Drosophila melanogaster: one gene and its partners. The protein of the gene in region 2 interacts with the protein of the main gene of each other region in a pairwise test. Each region holds a gene or a part of one and is shown on either strand. Other genes may lie near its edges. The genes, in order: Obp18a, CG7272, CheB42b and CG11357.

Region 1 (3,197 bases), on a different chromosome or scaffold from region 2:
GCTCCGTTTTACAATATTTCTTACAATTTTTCTTATCTATATATATTTTATATTTACTTTATATTTATATATATTTATTATTATATTCTGCTGTTGATGATGCTCATCAGGTGTCAGCTGGGCGTCGCCGGGGGTGGCACGCTGACACTCCCTCGCTGCTGTCTATTTCTTCGCCGCTGAAGACGTCGATGGTCGCTCACAAGTCCCCAGGCAGTGGGGACTCCAGATTCCTTCGCAGCCAGGGGGGCAGGACTTCTTTGGTTTTGTTAATGCTGGTGCTGGTGCTGGACATGCCTGGTATTTTGGAACTTCATTAATTGTGGGTATATTTTTAATATTATCTGAGTGAGTTTTCTCGAGCTTATGGGTCTTTAATTCTTGCTGATATTGCAACAAGTGGTCTAGCTCTGCATGTAGCTTTAGAGCTTTCGACCAAACCGGTGGCGTTTGCTGACCGTATATTAGCCACCTTACGTGGGCTATACGTTTATTCAGCTTAGTTTTCAAACCGCCACGGTGTTTGCCCATACTCAATAGAACTCTACTCACTCAGATTTTTCCTTGGTTTTTGCAGTTCCATTTAATTAGTCCAGTCTTCTTCCAGTCCAGTGTTCCTTTGTTCCTTTGTTTTCACCAGCTTTGGTCAATTCGTCCAGCGTTGGACGACTGTCACGGTCGCCATGTAATGATGAACTCCAATTCAGAACACAAGTCCGTTTTAAGTTGAAGGCAGCCGTCGGGCTGACATATATTTATTCAATTTCTTCTTTTGATTTTAGAGTAGGCAGAAATGGTTCTGTCAGCTCAACGTCTACAGAGTCTCTCTGATTTTACAGTTTTTAATATATTTGGACTTAGGCTAATCCGCGTAGCTGCGCTGCCGGGTACGCCAGCAGCGGAGCGGCGTTCTTATGTATATCTTATATATCTAGGCTTATCGGGAGAGCGAGATATGTATGTACGTATGTAATATGTATTTGGTCGGCGTGTGAATGCTGACCATGCACTTATACTTTTTGCCTTCGAGTGGGTGATCATGTTACATCCGCCCTGGCCTAACTGCGTGCATAAACATAAACATAAACATAGCAACAAAGTGCTGCCATAAGTTAATATGCTATTTTATTTAATTGTTCTTAATATTGCATAGGCACATACTACAGTTTAACATAAGAATACTTTTTTTTTTTGTTGTCAGCTTTAAATGTACGTGTTTTATTGCTAATTTTAATGTTCTAATTACTTTATTTATTCATTGGAAATGGGAATTCGCATAGACGAGCCCATCACGAAAATACTTACCAAAAAAGACAGTAGACTAAGTTTATACTAAAGATAATTAGGGGAAACCGCAAGAAAACAAAGAAAAAAAAAATGCAAAACGATAAACATTGTGGCGGTACAGTGAGCACTGCCTGCGGCCAACCTAAAAACATGACGAAATATTTTTTTTTTTTTTACATCGTGTATAAGATGTGATATTCGCTGCAAATCGCAAAGCGTGAATATAATTTGTATTTATACCTATATTAATGAACCATATAAAATATACGAATAAAGTCCAATACAGTAGATAGGCTACACATATGTTTTTTGTTTAAACTTCAGAGATGCTTGGAGTGTAAAAGCCAAAAATTGTATGTTTTCTATCTTAATAAATATGAAGAAAACCAAGTTGGTAATTTACTATTGGCAATTGTAATGCAGATATTGCGCATACGACATACGTGTAGCTCATAATCGGGAACTGCGCTTAAAATTTCAATTATAGACTTTATTTGTTGGTGTGTGGCGAATGTAAAGTAGCATCCAATTATTTAATTAAAATCTCCTGTCTACTTTTGAGCTGAATTAGCAAATCGATGGGTTATATATATAGAGCTGTGATGATGCGCTCATTGTTAGTTGGGAAACAGATTTTCGCCATGAAGGTTGTGTGCAGCATAGCTGTACTATGGATTTGCTTGATAACTATGGTCAGTTCTTAACGAAATAGTTATGTGTCCATCTAACAATACCATCTATTCTAGTGGCAATCAGCTGGCCGCGTTAACGCAGAGGGTTGCCTAAAGCACCACAATCTGACCAGTGCCCAAGTGCAGGCAGTGGCTCCATCCACTCCCGTTGCGGATGTTCCAGTGGCCGTTAAGTGCTATAGCCGGTGTCTGATCCAGGATTATTTCGGTGATGATGGGAAAATCGATCTGCAGAAGGTGGGAAAGCGAGGATCTCAAGAGGACCACGTGATTTTGTCCCAGTGTAAGCAGCAGTTCGATGGCGTCACCAATCTGGACACGTGCGACTATCCATACCTGATTCTCCAGTGTTATTTTAAGGGCAAGCAGAGTGGAACTATCGCCTCGTAATTTACCAAATAAACAAAAAATAAAGTATACATATATACATTACTACATACATATATGTACACACACATGACAGACACAATGGGCTTCATCACAGTTCATTGTTGAGTCTTCTAATCAGATCAAACGCCCTCTAATGGAAATTACACACGATTGTGCTTAGTATAAGTGTGATTTTCATTATTATTATTTGTATACAGTGATTAATAATTGTATTAGAGCAAAATAGTAGACATGCATTGTTTTAAACTCGTCTGCTTTTTATTGATTTGTTTTATGCAAAGTAACGTAGAACTGGTGGAAATACATAATGCAATAATAAGTCAATCAGAGTCTTTATTTTCCGAAAATTCGCAAGAAACATGGCCAAATAAATAACAGAAAATTTCAGTTTGCTGACCAAATATGTATGTATGCATGTACATATGTACATATATGGGTGGACTGGGAAGCCAAACACAAAATTTTCCCCCTGCTTGAATAATATTTGAAATGGCAGATATGGAAGATGCAATTTGAACATAATTGAAATGCAAATCGCAGACTGTGAACTGCAGAACCGACTTGATGGGGCGGATGTGTGGACGTAATAATGAATCCCAGTCGACCCCACAGGATGCAGGGCAAATTTCAATTTTCCCAGCAAATCATACGTAAAGTTTGGCCAAATACATTTTGGGCCAAGAGGGCCAAAAAGGGCCAGAAGGATGTCAATGCAATCAGTGAGGCATTTGACTTGGCCTTTCATTAACTCGACTCAGCGCAGTCGAGTGCAAAGGACACAGTACATAGTACACAGGACGAAAGACGCAGGACGCAGGACGCAGGACATGG
Region 2 (4,977 bases):
AGCTATCCCAACGCCAATTATCCCTTCACAATATACCCTCCGATGGCGACTGCTTATATCAGTCCATCAGACACCAACTTATCGTAAATGCTCTTCCAGGTAATGCTTCACGATTCAGTCCACACAGCACCAAAACTAATCCATAATAATTGCACCAAAGGTCACAGTGTTCAGGAGTTGCGGGAGGAAACTGCCAATTATGTGCGTGCTCACAAGGACTCGCTTATCTCATACATGATCCACCCGGAAACAGGAGACATTCTGAACGACCAACAATTCGAACAATACTGCCACGACATAGCAAAAACTCACGCTTGGGGTGGCCACATAGAACTGAAGGCCATCTCATCGCTACTCCGGGTGCCCATTGAAGTTATCCAAGCGGAAGGAGCACCGACGCTCCTGGGGCAAGAGGAATTCGGTGGATCACCGCTGATCATCTGCTACCACCGCCACATATACCAATTGGGTGCCCACTACAATTCCACGGTGCCAGCAGCCTAAACGGGAAATGCCCAATGGCATTTACCATCAACTCACTCGATTTTGTAACAGATTGTTTTATTACATATTATGTTGACTTTATAAATACGTATGCATTTGGAAGATTTGAATTATTGTCAAAAATTGCAAGTATGTAGTAGTTATATACAATAATAGTCAATATAATAACAATTCTAGGTTAGCTAGCAACTTAGTTAGCTGGATTTGTTCTAAGAAAATATTTCCTATATAGAAAAATAATTCGTTTAGCTCAAATTTAGTTTTCTTGTGGCGGTTTAGTGTAAATTCAAGCAATAATTTGATTATTCCTCAAAGCCTAGCTACTTATTACTTGGTAATGTTGTTGCAACAACCCATTATTTGTCCTTTTTTCTAGGTAAAGCGTTCGATTTCAATTATTTGTCCTTCTTGCTGTCCTTGGGCTTCTCGGCAGCCGGTTTGTTGGGATAAATAGCGAACATGGAGAGCTGAATGCCGCCCAGGACCAGCAGCAAAAGGTTCTGCAGCTGAAATAGAAGAATTTTCGGTTCAAATTTACATTCTCGTTTAATAGAATTAATTGCTAACTTACCACCATCACAGTATTCTTGATGGAGATGGCATACAGCGTCCAGGAAAATGCCACCAGATTACCGGCAAAGATAATCGGGAACGGCATTCCCTCGGTGCTCTTCTTCTCAATGATTTTCGGCAGATGCAGCAGGGGAGAGCCCACCATCCAAACCAGGATGCCGGTGATCAGCATTCCCAGGCGGAACTCAATCTTGGCGGGATCCTCGAAGTTGGCATACGCGGTGATGGCCAATAGGAACACCGAGGAATAGCCAATCTGCTTCCAGATCTTGCTCCTGCTGGCGCTCGAGGCGTAGTAGTAAAATCCGAAGAGGAAGACGAAGTTTATCACCAGGCCGATTAAATTCGTATTGATCATGGCAGCATCATTCATAATGTTGGCCAGCTTCAAGCTGAGAACGGTCCTAGAAAGTTCAACAATTTGTTAATTAGTTACTTTAATTTAGGACAAAATTTGGTTTTTATATTTAAACAAAAATGTAATACTGTTACCATTCATATTCATTTTAAAATATTCTTCAATATAAGGCTGGAAATTTTATAAATTCCAGTTAACTTGTAGATAAGAGCATAGTTTTCTGAGGATATTATAATTAATTCAAATTAATTGACCCTGCCCGAACCAGTTTTCCAGCAGTAAGTCGCTACAGAAAGTTCGAATCAAGAGAAATGGAACTAGTTTTCATTTAAAGTGCTCCAGTCTACCACTTCATTGAAAAAAAAAACCAGTTTACACTTATTAATTGCGTTATCAGATTCTATACTAGGTGGAGATAGATAAATAAGCATAATAGGGCCGGCGTGCAAATCATGGTACACGTAGCATTTGATAAGGAGCTCAACGCTCAACAAATAATCAGCATTATCATCGATCAACCTATAAACAAACCCACAACAATGGTGAAATACACCCGGGCTGGGCGAAATGAAATGCAAACTGGCCGAGGAACCTGCCCTTGACCGAGACCTCGAGCGCCCATTGGGTGGAGTGGAATTCGTTTAGCATACAACTGTTGCTTCGCTTGCATGTCTGCGGGTCCTTACACTTGACACAGTCCAAGTTAACACCTTCCGGAAAACCACCCCCAAGTAAGCCCCGGCGCAGTGATGGCACACTCACTTGATGGTACTCATTCACTTGCTGCCATATGGCACTTTATGATCTTTTGAGATGTTCAAAACAAACAGTGGAAAGTTTACGATTTAAAAATAAAAAGGTAAATTCCTCGAGAGTTCATCTACATTTAGTGCTTTAGCCAGCAGGAATTTGGAATTGTTTAAAGAAATGTATTATTACGGAAACTATAGTTAAAAAAATATTATGTTTTGCTAAGCAAACACTATTATTCATATGCAGTAATGGACAAGCCTTACGGCTATAATTAGAGAAGATTATATTTATAGATGACAAGATATTCCCATCACCACCACTGGGTGGCCCACCCCCTTTGGAATCTGGGCAGCCCCGCTTTATGCCGAGCACGTGGAGAGGGCGAGTCGCGTATCTTTCGCCCGTCGTATAAACGATTAGCGGCTCTCCCAGATTTGGACAGACTCTACCGGATCAGCATTCGTAATAGAGGAGCTCTAAAATTATACACTCTAGATAAGAGCTACGTGTTTGGAGGGTTCTCGCATCGATAAGGCGGCAAAAGTGCTGCTGGCGGATTTTCGACAAGGTTAACGATTTCGAAATGTAACGGTCGCGGATGATCGAAGTGTAATTCCCATTTGGCCAACGCAGTGATGTAATCGATTCCATTGTTATCTTCTTGAATTGTGTGCAAAACCGATTCACTGGCGGCCTTGAAGAGACTCGATTCTGTGCTGTCATGGCGACAGTTCTAAAATTTAATCAATTCCCACACAGATGCGTTGGCTTTTGTTCTTTTCACTCGCTTTTCCTGCCCCCTGCCCACTAGTTTTTTTTTCGATGTCGCATGCAGTGGAGCATCACGGAATCCCAATTAGGTTACTTACAGCACCACTCCGAAGAGAAATGGGCCCACCGGGTAGACGTCGCTGCTACCCTTCTTGCGGATGTCGTTCATCAGAACCACTCCGGACAGAAATTGCAGGGTAGTTATGGTGCCGGCTACCTTGGCGATTAGTTCGCTGTGTGGCGCCAAGAGATCCCCCAGTGCCTCCATGATTTCAATGACTCTCAGTTGATGCCTTTCAAACGGGTTATGTGGGAACGGGAGGGGGGCCGAGTGCCGCGCGAGTATAAACAAATGAACGAAAACAAAAACTAACGACCGACTGGCGGCTGCCGTAACAACAAACGAACAAATACTGAGCACCAACGGTGGGGCTGGCAACCTTTTATAATCGAGAATCCCCTAGAAATGGACGCGTCTCTCCGATTTTCCCCAAACGTTATCGCCCGCGAGGGCTTATCGGATACGAATTGAATTTCAAATTTCCGCGAAACGTTGCTGCATGGCAAAGCAAATGAGTTTTCTCTCTAGAGCAACAGGAGAGTATTCCTTAGAACTTATCAACATCTTCTTTCTTCTAGTATCACTGAATTAAAGCCAAACAATAGTTTAAACTAAGCAAATTCACTGATAACTTCGGTTTGACTTGACCAAACTGAAAGTCACTTGAGAACAATGATAGAAAGTGAGAAACTCAATTGAGATTAGGCTTCTTAATATATACATACATAGTCTCCTTACAAAAATCAATTTTATTCAAACTTATCCAACTACAGTCGTTAGCAATCATCCTCACACCTCCTCCTTCAGCACATGCTTCTTTTTCTCGCTGACGTAGGGCACCTTCTTGCTCTTCTTGGTGTGCTTGCGCACATTGGCCTCCTTGACCTGCTCCTTCTCCTTGACCGTGCGCATCTTCTTCTGTGCATTGAGCACGTGACGCGGCACCTGGCGATGGCGCGCGATGCGCTTGATCTGCGGATGAGCGGCATACTTTTGCTTCAGCGCCTCCTGGTAATTGAAATTGACGCGCTCACGTGGACGGATGACGCCCAGCTTTTCGGAGGCATTCGCCTTCCACATGCGGACGTTCATTTCGTCGGAGCCGGAGAAAACGTATCGATTATCGAGGGACCAGGCCACGCAGACCACATGCTGCATGCGTTTTGTGTGGTAAATATCCCGCGAGTGACTGTGGTGGGCATTGTAGATCCGAATGGTCTTGTCGTAGCTGGCCGAGACGAATTCCTTGCCAGTGGGCGAGTAGTCAACATCGGTGACAGCGGAAACATGGTCAAAGTGAACCTTCAGCGGCGTTTGCAGCTTGCGAGTGTCAAAGGTATAAAGGCTGTAAGAAATAAAGATTTTAGCAACACATCCTCTTCGTATGGCCGTTTTACTCACTTGCAATCCTCGTTGGCCACTGTGAAGTTGAACGCCTCCATGGGATTCCACGCGAGCTTGTTGCTCTTCATGGTTAGGACGACCTTCCTTAGTGGCTGCGCCTCTCTCTGATCGTACAGGATAATGCTGCGATCGCTGGCACAGCACGCCAGGATGCTTGTTTCCACGGGGTTATAGGATATGGTGTGAAGGGTATCGACGCCCCACTTCAATGTCTTCAAAGGATCGTTGTGCCTTTCGTCCCAAATGGCGCATACCTCGCCACAGGTGGCGAACTTGTTATCCCTGCGATTGTGCGAGATGCCGTGCAGTCCAAATTTACTCAGTATAGTGTTCACCGGCACCTCATCCTCGCCGACTTCCGGAGCCTCTGCTTTCCAAACCTTGATGGTTTTATCATCTCCCACGGTGAAAATGCGACCTCCGTTCTGGGTGTAAGCAATGCCGCGAACGAAACCGTCGTGGGCCACAAAGTTCCGAGAGCTGATACGATTCGCCAAGTCCCAAATGCGCACTTCGCCGTCATAGGCGCCGGTGGCCAAGGTGGAAAGTTGCT
Region 3 (3,267 bases), on a different chromosome or scaffold from region 2:
ATTTGCACCTAAAGACGGTCTTTGTTTCTGGCTCTTCGGTTTAGAAAGTAGAAAATTATTCGCCGGGAATATGAAATGAAAGTGTTCCGAGGCTTACCTCCCTGCCGTTTAAAAGTTTTCGCAAATCTGTAAGAAACATTTTCCGTGAATTGGCAAGAGCTTTGCAAATTGACAAATCGATTGCTGCGATTTGAATCGATCGGAACTTATGCCAATCATCATCGGGTAATCCAATAACCGACAATTGTATTTGCATATTCCCCATCCAGCAACGGCAGTCATGACCCCAAAAAAATGCAGTCAGTATACGGTTCTCCTTTGTCTGCACGTCGTTACCCGAGAAGGTACTTGCCACACGCAGCTAGCCGATATGGAAACCGCAACTTGAACTCAAGTTGCCGTCAACGCGTGCCACCAACCACAAAACAAAACGAATCAAGAAGTTAACTGATTGGGGATATGGAAGGTAAAACAAGCCCCTAAAGTTATGAGATCTGTTAAAACACGATGCAATGTTTAAATTGTTATTGAATGTAGGAATTAAGAACACTATGTTTAATATTATACAATATTGAAAAAAAAAATACACATTCAACAAAATAGTCTATTGTTCCAACTACTGCAACTTTAGTGGTTCTCCTATGATCTCCAAACAAATTGGGTTTGGGCGCGGTATATTCCTCTCATCTAGTGCGTTAAACAATATGACAAGTTTATGACGTCCTCTAAGAAGAGGTCCACGAAAATTCTCAAATTTTAGTATGAGATCGAAGGGCTCGTGTACCAGAACGGTCTGTAAGAAATCAGAATATTTTCAAAATATTGTGCAATAAAAAATGGTAGTGTCCTTTGCACACAACCATATGAATAATCTGCATCCCATATGAGAACTATTCCCATATGCTATTATATTCCACCGTATTTGGTTGTCAAATTGCTTGAACTCCACTTACATCAGGCCCTCTGAAGCACTTCTTTTCCACCTCATGGCGATTGGTTATAAACCTTGTCCAATACTTATACCAATACTGGTTCTTGTCGTACATGATGGAGCAAAAGTTCTGGGTGGCCATGCTAAAGACAGTGGGCTCCCAAGTGCCGCGGTTGAAGTGAAAAACATCAAGTCTCGCCTACACGGATGCAAGAGTTTTGATATTAGAATCGATGATTATTCCGAAGCTTGCAGTTTGTGTTACAGTAATCCGATCGGTGGGCTGCACATCCCACACGACGGTGGCGTTCCCGGATACATGAAGTATATCCCCTTTCTGGTCGATTACAATGTCGTCTAAGTTGAGTGCCTGGCGGATGTTGATGGATCCGGGAGGACCATCAGTGCACGTCGAAAATATGTCCGGATCCTCGAGCAATAATTCATAGTCTGTGGCCCAGGAACTGGTCACTCCTAATAAGAGTAGCAGCACAAATATCATGATGACCATAGAACCGAAAACTGTGAGATCCGACCCCTTTATAGCCACTGCCACAATAGAGTTTTTGATATGTTTTATTTATACACCTTTTAAAATGATGACATCTAATCATGGTATGCCATCGTACATTGATTCAACACGCAACAATGTAACAACCATCTCCTGTTAATCAGACGTTGTCAAACTCTAACAATATAATTGGCAAATCACGTTATGTGACCCTTGAAAATATTCGTGCTTAAACATTGTAAAACAAGATGTTTTAATAATAATAACTTTTGGGCTAGAAAAAAAAACAAGTTTGAAACAAAAAACAAATTCCCCAAAGATTTTCTTGGCGATCACATATCCGTGTGGGCGTGACAGTTTTGGGCGGTTTTTGGTCGTTAGAGGGTGTGGTAGAGTAGGCGTGGCAATCTTCTGAAAGTACTTCTCTATAATCTGCATCCCTTATCTTATCAATATAGCTTTTATAGCTCCCGAGATCACATACGGGCATAAGGTTGATCAAACGAAAAAAAAGGTTCGCGTCACCTGTTACACACTTTGTACCAAATCAAGTACATATATCAAGTTCAGAATAGTTGATATATTTTATTTATATTTATATTTTTAAGATTGCTTTTTATTTTCAAAATATGTAGATATTGGGTTTATATTGTTTTTTAGGTTACTGATATCGCGCCTTGAACAGATTAAGCCCTTAATTAATTTATCTTCTCGGCCTCTCCCCTGATTTCGAAGCAAATGGAATTACGGCGTGGCACATCCTTCTCATCGACCGCCTCAAAGGTGACCACAGCTTTGTAACGACCCCTGAGAGTTGCACCACGAATGTCCGTTAGACGCAGCTGCAGATCGAATGGATTGTGCATTATAACGGTCTGTAATGGAATCCCAAGGTTAAAGTCACCGCGCCAGAGATGGACTGTTTTGTTTGCAGGGAAAACTCACACCACGCGTTTTAAAACACTTCTCCATCACCTCATCGCGGTTCGAAATGTGTTTGGTCCAGTACTTAAACCACGACTGATTCTCATCAAACATTGAGGCGCAGAAGTCCGGCGTGGCCATGCTAAATACAGTCGGTTCCCAGCTGCCGCGGTTGTAATGCATTATTGCAAACCTGGCCTTAAAAGCAATTGTTTATTAATAATCTTATTTCGTATAAGGAATGCGGGCATTACGGATATGCGATCTGTGGGCTCCACATCCCAGATTGAGGTGACACTCTCGGACAGGTGAATGATGTCCATGTCCTGGTCGACTACCAGATCGCCAATATCGAAGGCATCGTGGAATCCAATCGATCCCGGCGGCGGTTCAGTGCAGGGTGAAAAGATATCAGGGTCCTCCAGCAACAGCTCGTAGTCTGCGGCCCAGGAACTAGCAAAGCCAAATACGAACAGCATGAGAGTTCTCATGATGACAATAGTATCACCTGGTGGGATGAGACCCTTTTATAGTACTTGCCATCATGATCTCTTCTATCATTGCTATCATGTCATCATGTATCCACTCGACATGCAACAAAGTTACAACCATTTTGTTTGCCAGACATTATTTTAAATCGACATTTAAAGCAAGAAGCTCACTTCAACCATAACAAGTTTCGAGGAAATCAGTGCCAATGAAAATAGTCCTTATTAAACGATCAAAACAATCATTCCTGTTAATCTTATATTTATTAAGATATATAAGCTAAATACTAAAGGTTTTAGCCATTAGCATAACAACTTGTATGCCAAATAGGCATTTAGATTGTTATACTTGTAAAAGTATAACCTTTTGTTCTTCTTGAATTCAATGCTAAAATCTTTGTAGGCTCCTTGAT
Region 4 (4,992 bases), about 11 Mb from region 2:
CGATTTGCACTCAATTAAATTTTTTGCTGATAAAAATTAAAACGAACTAGACAAACATGATCATGGCCATTTTTTGCTGTTCTTGCAACGCTCGGAATCGCTCGCATGTAAATTAAAGAAATCACACGATGATCCAGTAAGTAAGAAATCCAGTAATAAATTAAAGTTCTCCTGCAGTGCACAAATTTCGTGGATGTCTGGTTTCTATCCATTTACGCGCGCAATCAAGAAATTCCAAATACTTGCAATATTTATAGAATGTATCCACATCAGCAAATGCGTGTGTGAGAAGAGAGGCACGTGTATGTATTTGTTTAAAATAAAAGAACAATTTGCATTATACGAACATAAACTTTTAAAGTATTTTGGTATGCCTTATCTAAACAAATTCACAATGGAAATAAGTGTTATTCTCTCGATGTTCCGCTGGTTTCAAAAAAAAAAAACAATTATCTGATAAACATTATATTTATTTGAAGCATTGAATTTGAAAGTCTCACATGAGGGGATCACATGATGAAACGGAATGAATTATTATGTTCGAGTATTAGAGTATTATATTCTAGCTGATACTAGCACATTGATAAAGACCAAAATACAATTTTCTTAAAATTATTAAGATTGGTGTGCTTATACACAAAATTCTGTGAAACTTGCTACATGCAGATTACTTTTCGCATATCTTAGAAAAGCATGAATAAGTCGAGTGGAGAAACCCAAAAGGAAGTAGAAAACAGTTGAAAGATTAAGTTGTGAGACATAAGGATGTTATTTCATAAACGTACTGTTTAGGATCGCAAATCGCTCGAAATTCGGGTATTAATAATGAATAGCAGTTCGTACGTGTCGAAAATTTCGGCGCGGCAAGGGGGAGTAAAAGAGAAAGCAAAAAGCTGAAAACGTTGACGTGACGTTACGTCGGCGGAGAATCTCGGGGTCACTGTACGGACCAATAAAAGTAACACCGCCGACGTCTAACGCCTCGCACCGCCGGTTATCAGTGGGCCAGAAGGCGCAAACGGGTGAAAAGCGGTGACAGCAGCTGATAGGCAAACAAACAGTCAAGCAAAGCGTATACAACGTTATTTTGCGCCACTGAAAAAAGCGTTAAAGCCCATTCGACAGAGACGGCCGATCGAGGGGAGATGAATGTGGGAAAAAGAGAGAGCGAGAGCTTCTCGCGGAAGCTGGCGCAATTAAAAATCAGAGCTTCGCCAACGAGCATGTGATTGAAAATTTGAAGCGCCAATGCAAACAATGAACTTTAAACTGAACGGAATGATTGTAATTCCTTATAAGCCATAGTGCTCAATAAATTAAACATTAATTTAAAGTACACGTGTTAAATGTCTATTAGCGAAAATCACACAAAAATCGATTTAGATCCAAAATATCGCCCTTAGAGATATGGTGCTATCTTAGTGGGACTCGAACACGGTCTTCTTAGCGACTTCTTCTTCAGATAACAAATCTATTGAATATGTAATAAGTTGAATACATATGACTTGATTGATATCAGGAAAAATTGATATAGAAATGGGTTATTTTTTATTGATAAGCGGTGTATCGGAACTAGTGAGATTTCCACTGTACCTAAGTGATGAGGTAAACACTCTCGCAGTCTTGGGCAAACATTCAGACGGGAGCGAGGCGCACAGAAAGATAGGAAGAGGGAGACGGAGCGAGGCGGCACAGTGGGACAGGCCAAGGACAACGAGTTGAAAAAGGCGAAAAGGAGCAGACGAGCCAAAACGGAGGACAACAAACAGGCATGCGTGCCACTGTGCCTGAACTTGTTCAAGGTCAGTCCTCAGCGACAGCGACGTGCTAACAAAAAGCGAAGAAAATTCATGTTGGAAAAAAGCACAAAAGAAGAGCACACAACAACAACGCCTCTTAAAGGCGAAGAAAAGAGCGAAAGAAGAGATAGATGCGTATATAAAAAACAAAAAAAAAAAACGCTACCCACACATGAAAGAGAGTGAGCGAGAGAGCAAGTGTCCCTCCCCGCAGCAACAATGACAACAATAGGATACTGTTCAATGGATGCTGATAAGCAAAAGTAAAAGACAAAACCCCTCGAAATCTGGAGAGATAGTATCCAAGCACTCGCATAATTAATTTCATACATTTTATGCTTTTTTTTATGTATTAATAGTCACCTGCTGGTTGTTCGCCTGGCTGCTTCCTCATTAGCCAGTCAGTCGAATCCTTGCGGGAGAGCGAGGGAAATGGCAACAAATGTGCGTTTTTAATTAATTTCCATGTGAAGCACTCACGCACACTTACACACACCCATCGCTTTGGGTAACAGTTCAAAAACAGAGTTAGAGCGAAAGAGACACCAATTGGGAGTGCTAATTCAACACACACGCGCACGCAGCACTTAATTTGTATAGATTTTTGGCATCAATTTGTTGTTGGCAGCTGGAATAAATTTACTTAACTTAACACAATTTTCAAGCTTGCACACAACCACACCAACACGAACACCTATACAGACGCGGCGAAAAGAAATGCAAAAGGAGATGAAGAGGAAGAAGAAGAAGCAGGCTGAAGGATGCTGGGCCTGGATTTCTCTTTCCTTTTTTCGCTGCCCAAAAAGGCGTTGACAGCGCTTTTATTCACTTTTAATTCATTTAACGATGGTGTTGTCCGACTTTAATTGTTTATGCGCTTGGGTTTTTTAAGAAAAACTGAATAAAAAACGGAATAACCGCCGTCACTCGTCGAAAAATTCTCGGCGCGGCTATTGTTCACTTATTATCATGTCATATTTTCCAACTGATTTGAAAGACAGTATTTTAGAGAATAAGTATACCGAGCGAGTTATCAGCGACGTGTGCAATTTTTATGCACTTTTTTAATATTTTAAGTGGAAAATAAAACACAGAGCGTTTCAGAGGGCGCTAAATTGTTTTTTGCCCGTTCGGAACTGAGTAACTGAGAAGCGTAGCGTTATTACCAGTCTTTTTCTTCTTTTTTGTTGCTGCCCCGTTCGAATTTCTCTCGCACTGTTAGCCGCTCTCAGTTGCTGTTAAAGCGGCGAAATTCACTGTTATATTTAACAGAGGCGTTGTTGTTAGTTGTAAAGAAGGGCTGTTAAGGGGAGTTGGCTTCATAAAACTTTTTGAATATTCAGAGTTAAAGAAATCTAGTTTTTAACAATATTTGTATCAAAACACATTTAAAAATATTAACATGTTCAGTATTAATATATATTATTTAAGTATAAATTTCAAAAACCCCAGGCATAAGATTTTATATACACCACTGGAATGTTAACTGAAAGCGGGAGATAGGGATGGAACTCAAGCATCGACACGCGTTTAAAATTTGGGGTGACCATTTCTATCGCTTTCTCATCTAGCTTGCCTAGATTTTCAAGATCCATCTGCCAAAATTGCTATCGATTAAAGTGCATCGGCTCAGTCGCCATTCGTAAGTTGTAAATTACGAAGAAACGCAATGATAATTGATTCAACCGATAGGAAACCTATTTTAACTTAACATTAAGATTTTAACTTTTTAAATTGCACTAATATCGTTATCAGCCAACTAAATTTTGTAATTACTTAATTACTTAATAACAAAAATTAGAATAATATTTAATTCGTTGAGTAATAATGCCTTTTATGAAACCTAATTATTTACAAACAGTCGAATGTAAACAATATTGGGGTGATCATAAACATTAAGAGATATACATTTTGATAAGTGTTTTATTTAATGTTTATTTAAATTACAAATATCCCTAATATGACTGGTAAATACATCATATTACTTAGATAGTGACAGTTCGTCAGCACTGACTATCGATAGCCGCCTTTTGTTGCAACTTCCATCTTCTACGTGCAACAGAAGAAGTTCTAGAAATAAGCAGGAATAAAAGTTTGCAAAAATGAGTGCTCCAAAAGGGGACGGAAACTTAGTTCCCACAGTCAGAGAAGTGCAGCAAAAGTTTGCCGACATCCTGGGCCATGGCAACGATATAACCTGGGATCTGTAAGTAGGATTCATCCGAAAAAATTGCAAATTATAAAGCTCAAGGTTTGCAGAATATCGTCGGGTCAAGAAAACATATTGAAGGCAAAGCTGTCTCTGCTGAATTTCGATTCTAACATGTTTCATGCGATCTGGAGTTATAGTGAGTTATAGTTATAGTAAAATTAATAATATATTCCAAATAAGCGTCATTATGTTATCTACTTTCTCATATCAGGAAAATACTCCAAAGGGCAGTCACTCACGTCTTTATTTTTTGTGATGGTTGTCAATAATGTATATGATCCCAAGCTGGCCGAAGAAAGTAGATCCTGGCGCCTGTATCCGGTGTTTCGATGCCGACGATGCGTGGGTAAGCTCGATAGTTATAAGTAAATCGAGAAATGTATTATATTTTTTTATTTGTACAAGATGAAACTGGACATTCCAGCAACATTGACTGTTGCATGTCATATGTGTCACAGTACTCAATGTCTGATTCCTGGAACCGATTTGTGACCCATACGGGGTTTGCCGCAGGTCTAATGGTCACCCCGTATCTTGGAGTTTACAAGCAAACCGATGGTCGCGTTGAGCTAAAAACGTATACTACCACTCAGATATGGCACCCAAATAAGAAAGATATACCAATAACACCCGAATCGTTGAAAAAAGCATCCAGTGTGACTAATAAACTTAGAAAAATCATCATACATTCAGTTCCATTTCTGGTTTATCCTGAAGAGGTTTTCGACTTCTGCGCCAGTGAAAAGATGCTTTCGTCGATTTTGGTATAAACTTCATATTTCATTAACATACATTCGAATTTGTTTAAATTGTTTGTCTTTCATGTAGAATCCTCATAGTTCTACACAATCTGGTGATGTGGCTGGTCTATCCGATTCCTTAGTATTATTTACGAATAATCTGTACAATTCACGCCTTGAATCGCTGATGAATAATAATAATAATGATCCCAGCATTTTTGTTAATCAGCAACGGTAGGTA

Evidence for each region.
Region 1: the proteins of CG7272 (region 2) and Obp18a interact in a two-hybrid assay, tested with the Drosophila melanogaster proteins (one large-scale study listed by BioGRID).
Region 3: the proteins of CG7272 (region 2) and CheB42b interact in a two-hybrid assay, tested with the Drosophila melanogaster proteins (one large-scale study listed by BioGRID).
Region 4: the proteins of CG7272 (region 2) and CG11357 interact in a two-hybrid assay, tested with the Drosophila melanogaster proteins (one large-scale study listed by BioGRID).

What each region holds. Positions count from the first base shown.
Region 1 is NC_004354.4:19,134,572-19,137,768, reverse strand, and holds Obp18a (Odorant-binding protein 18a), read left to right. Parts: upstream 1-1,900; 5' UTR 1,901-1,925; coding exon 1,926-1,976; intron 1,977-2,030; coding exon 2,031-2,366; 3' UTR 2,367-2,688; downstream 2,689-3,197.
Region 2 is NT_037436.4:15,499,341-15,504,317, reverse strand, and holds CG7272 (uncharacterized protein), read right to left. Parts: upstream 3,381-4,977; 5' UTR 3,228-3,380; coding exon 3,058-3,227; intron 1,482-3,057; coding exon 1,076-1,481; intron 1,011-1,075; coding exon 900-1,010; 3' UTR 549-899; downstream 1-548. Other genes in the region: CG7857 (uncharacterized protein), read left to right, coding at 1-99, 161-504; CG7275 (uncharacterized protein), read right to left, coding at 3,810-4,365, 4,422-4,977.
Region 3 is NT_033778.4:6,942,554-6,945,820, forward strand, and holds CheB42b (chemosensory protein B 42b), read right to left. Parts: upstream 1,443-3,267; 5' UTR 1,434-1,442; coding exon 1,197-1,433; intron 1,131-1,196; coding exon 954-1,130; intron 794-953; coding exon 617-793; 3' UTR 543-616; downstream 1-542. Other genes in the region: CheB42c (chemosensory protein B 42c), read right to left, coding at 2,141-2,317, 2,388-2,564, 2,621-2,857.
Region 4 is NT_037436.4:4,540,078-4,545,069, reverse strand, and holds the start of CG11357 (uncharacterized protein), read right to left. Parts: upstream 3,020-4,992; 5' UTR 2,966-3,019; intron 2,951-2,965; exon of another isoform or gene 2,428-2,950; 5' UTR 2,163-2,427; intron 1-2,162. Other genes in the region: CG32243 (uncharacterized protein), read left to right, coding at 3,902-4,005, 4,059-4,147, 4,223-4,357, 4,417-4,775, 4,840-4,985.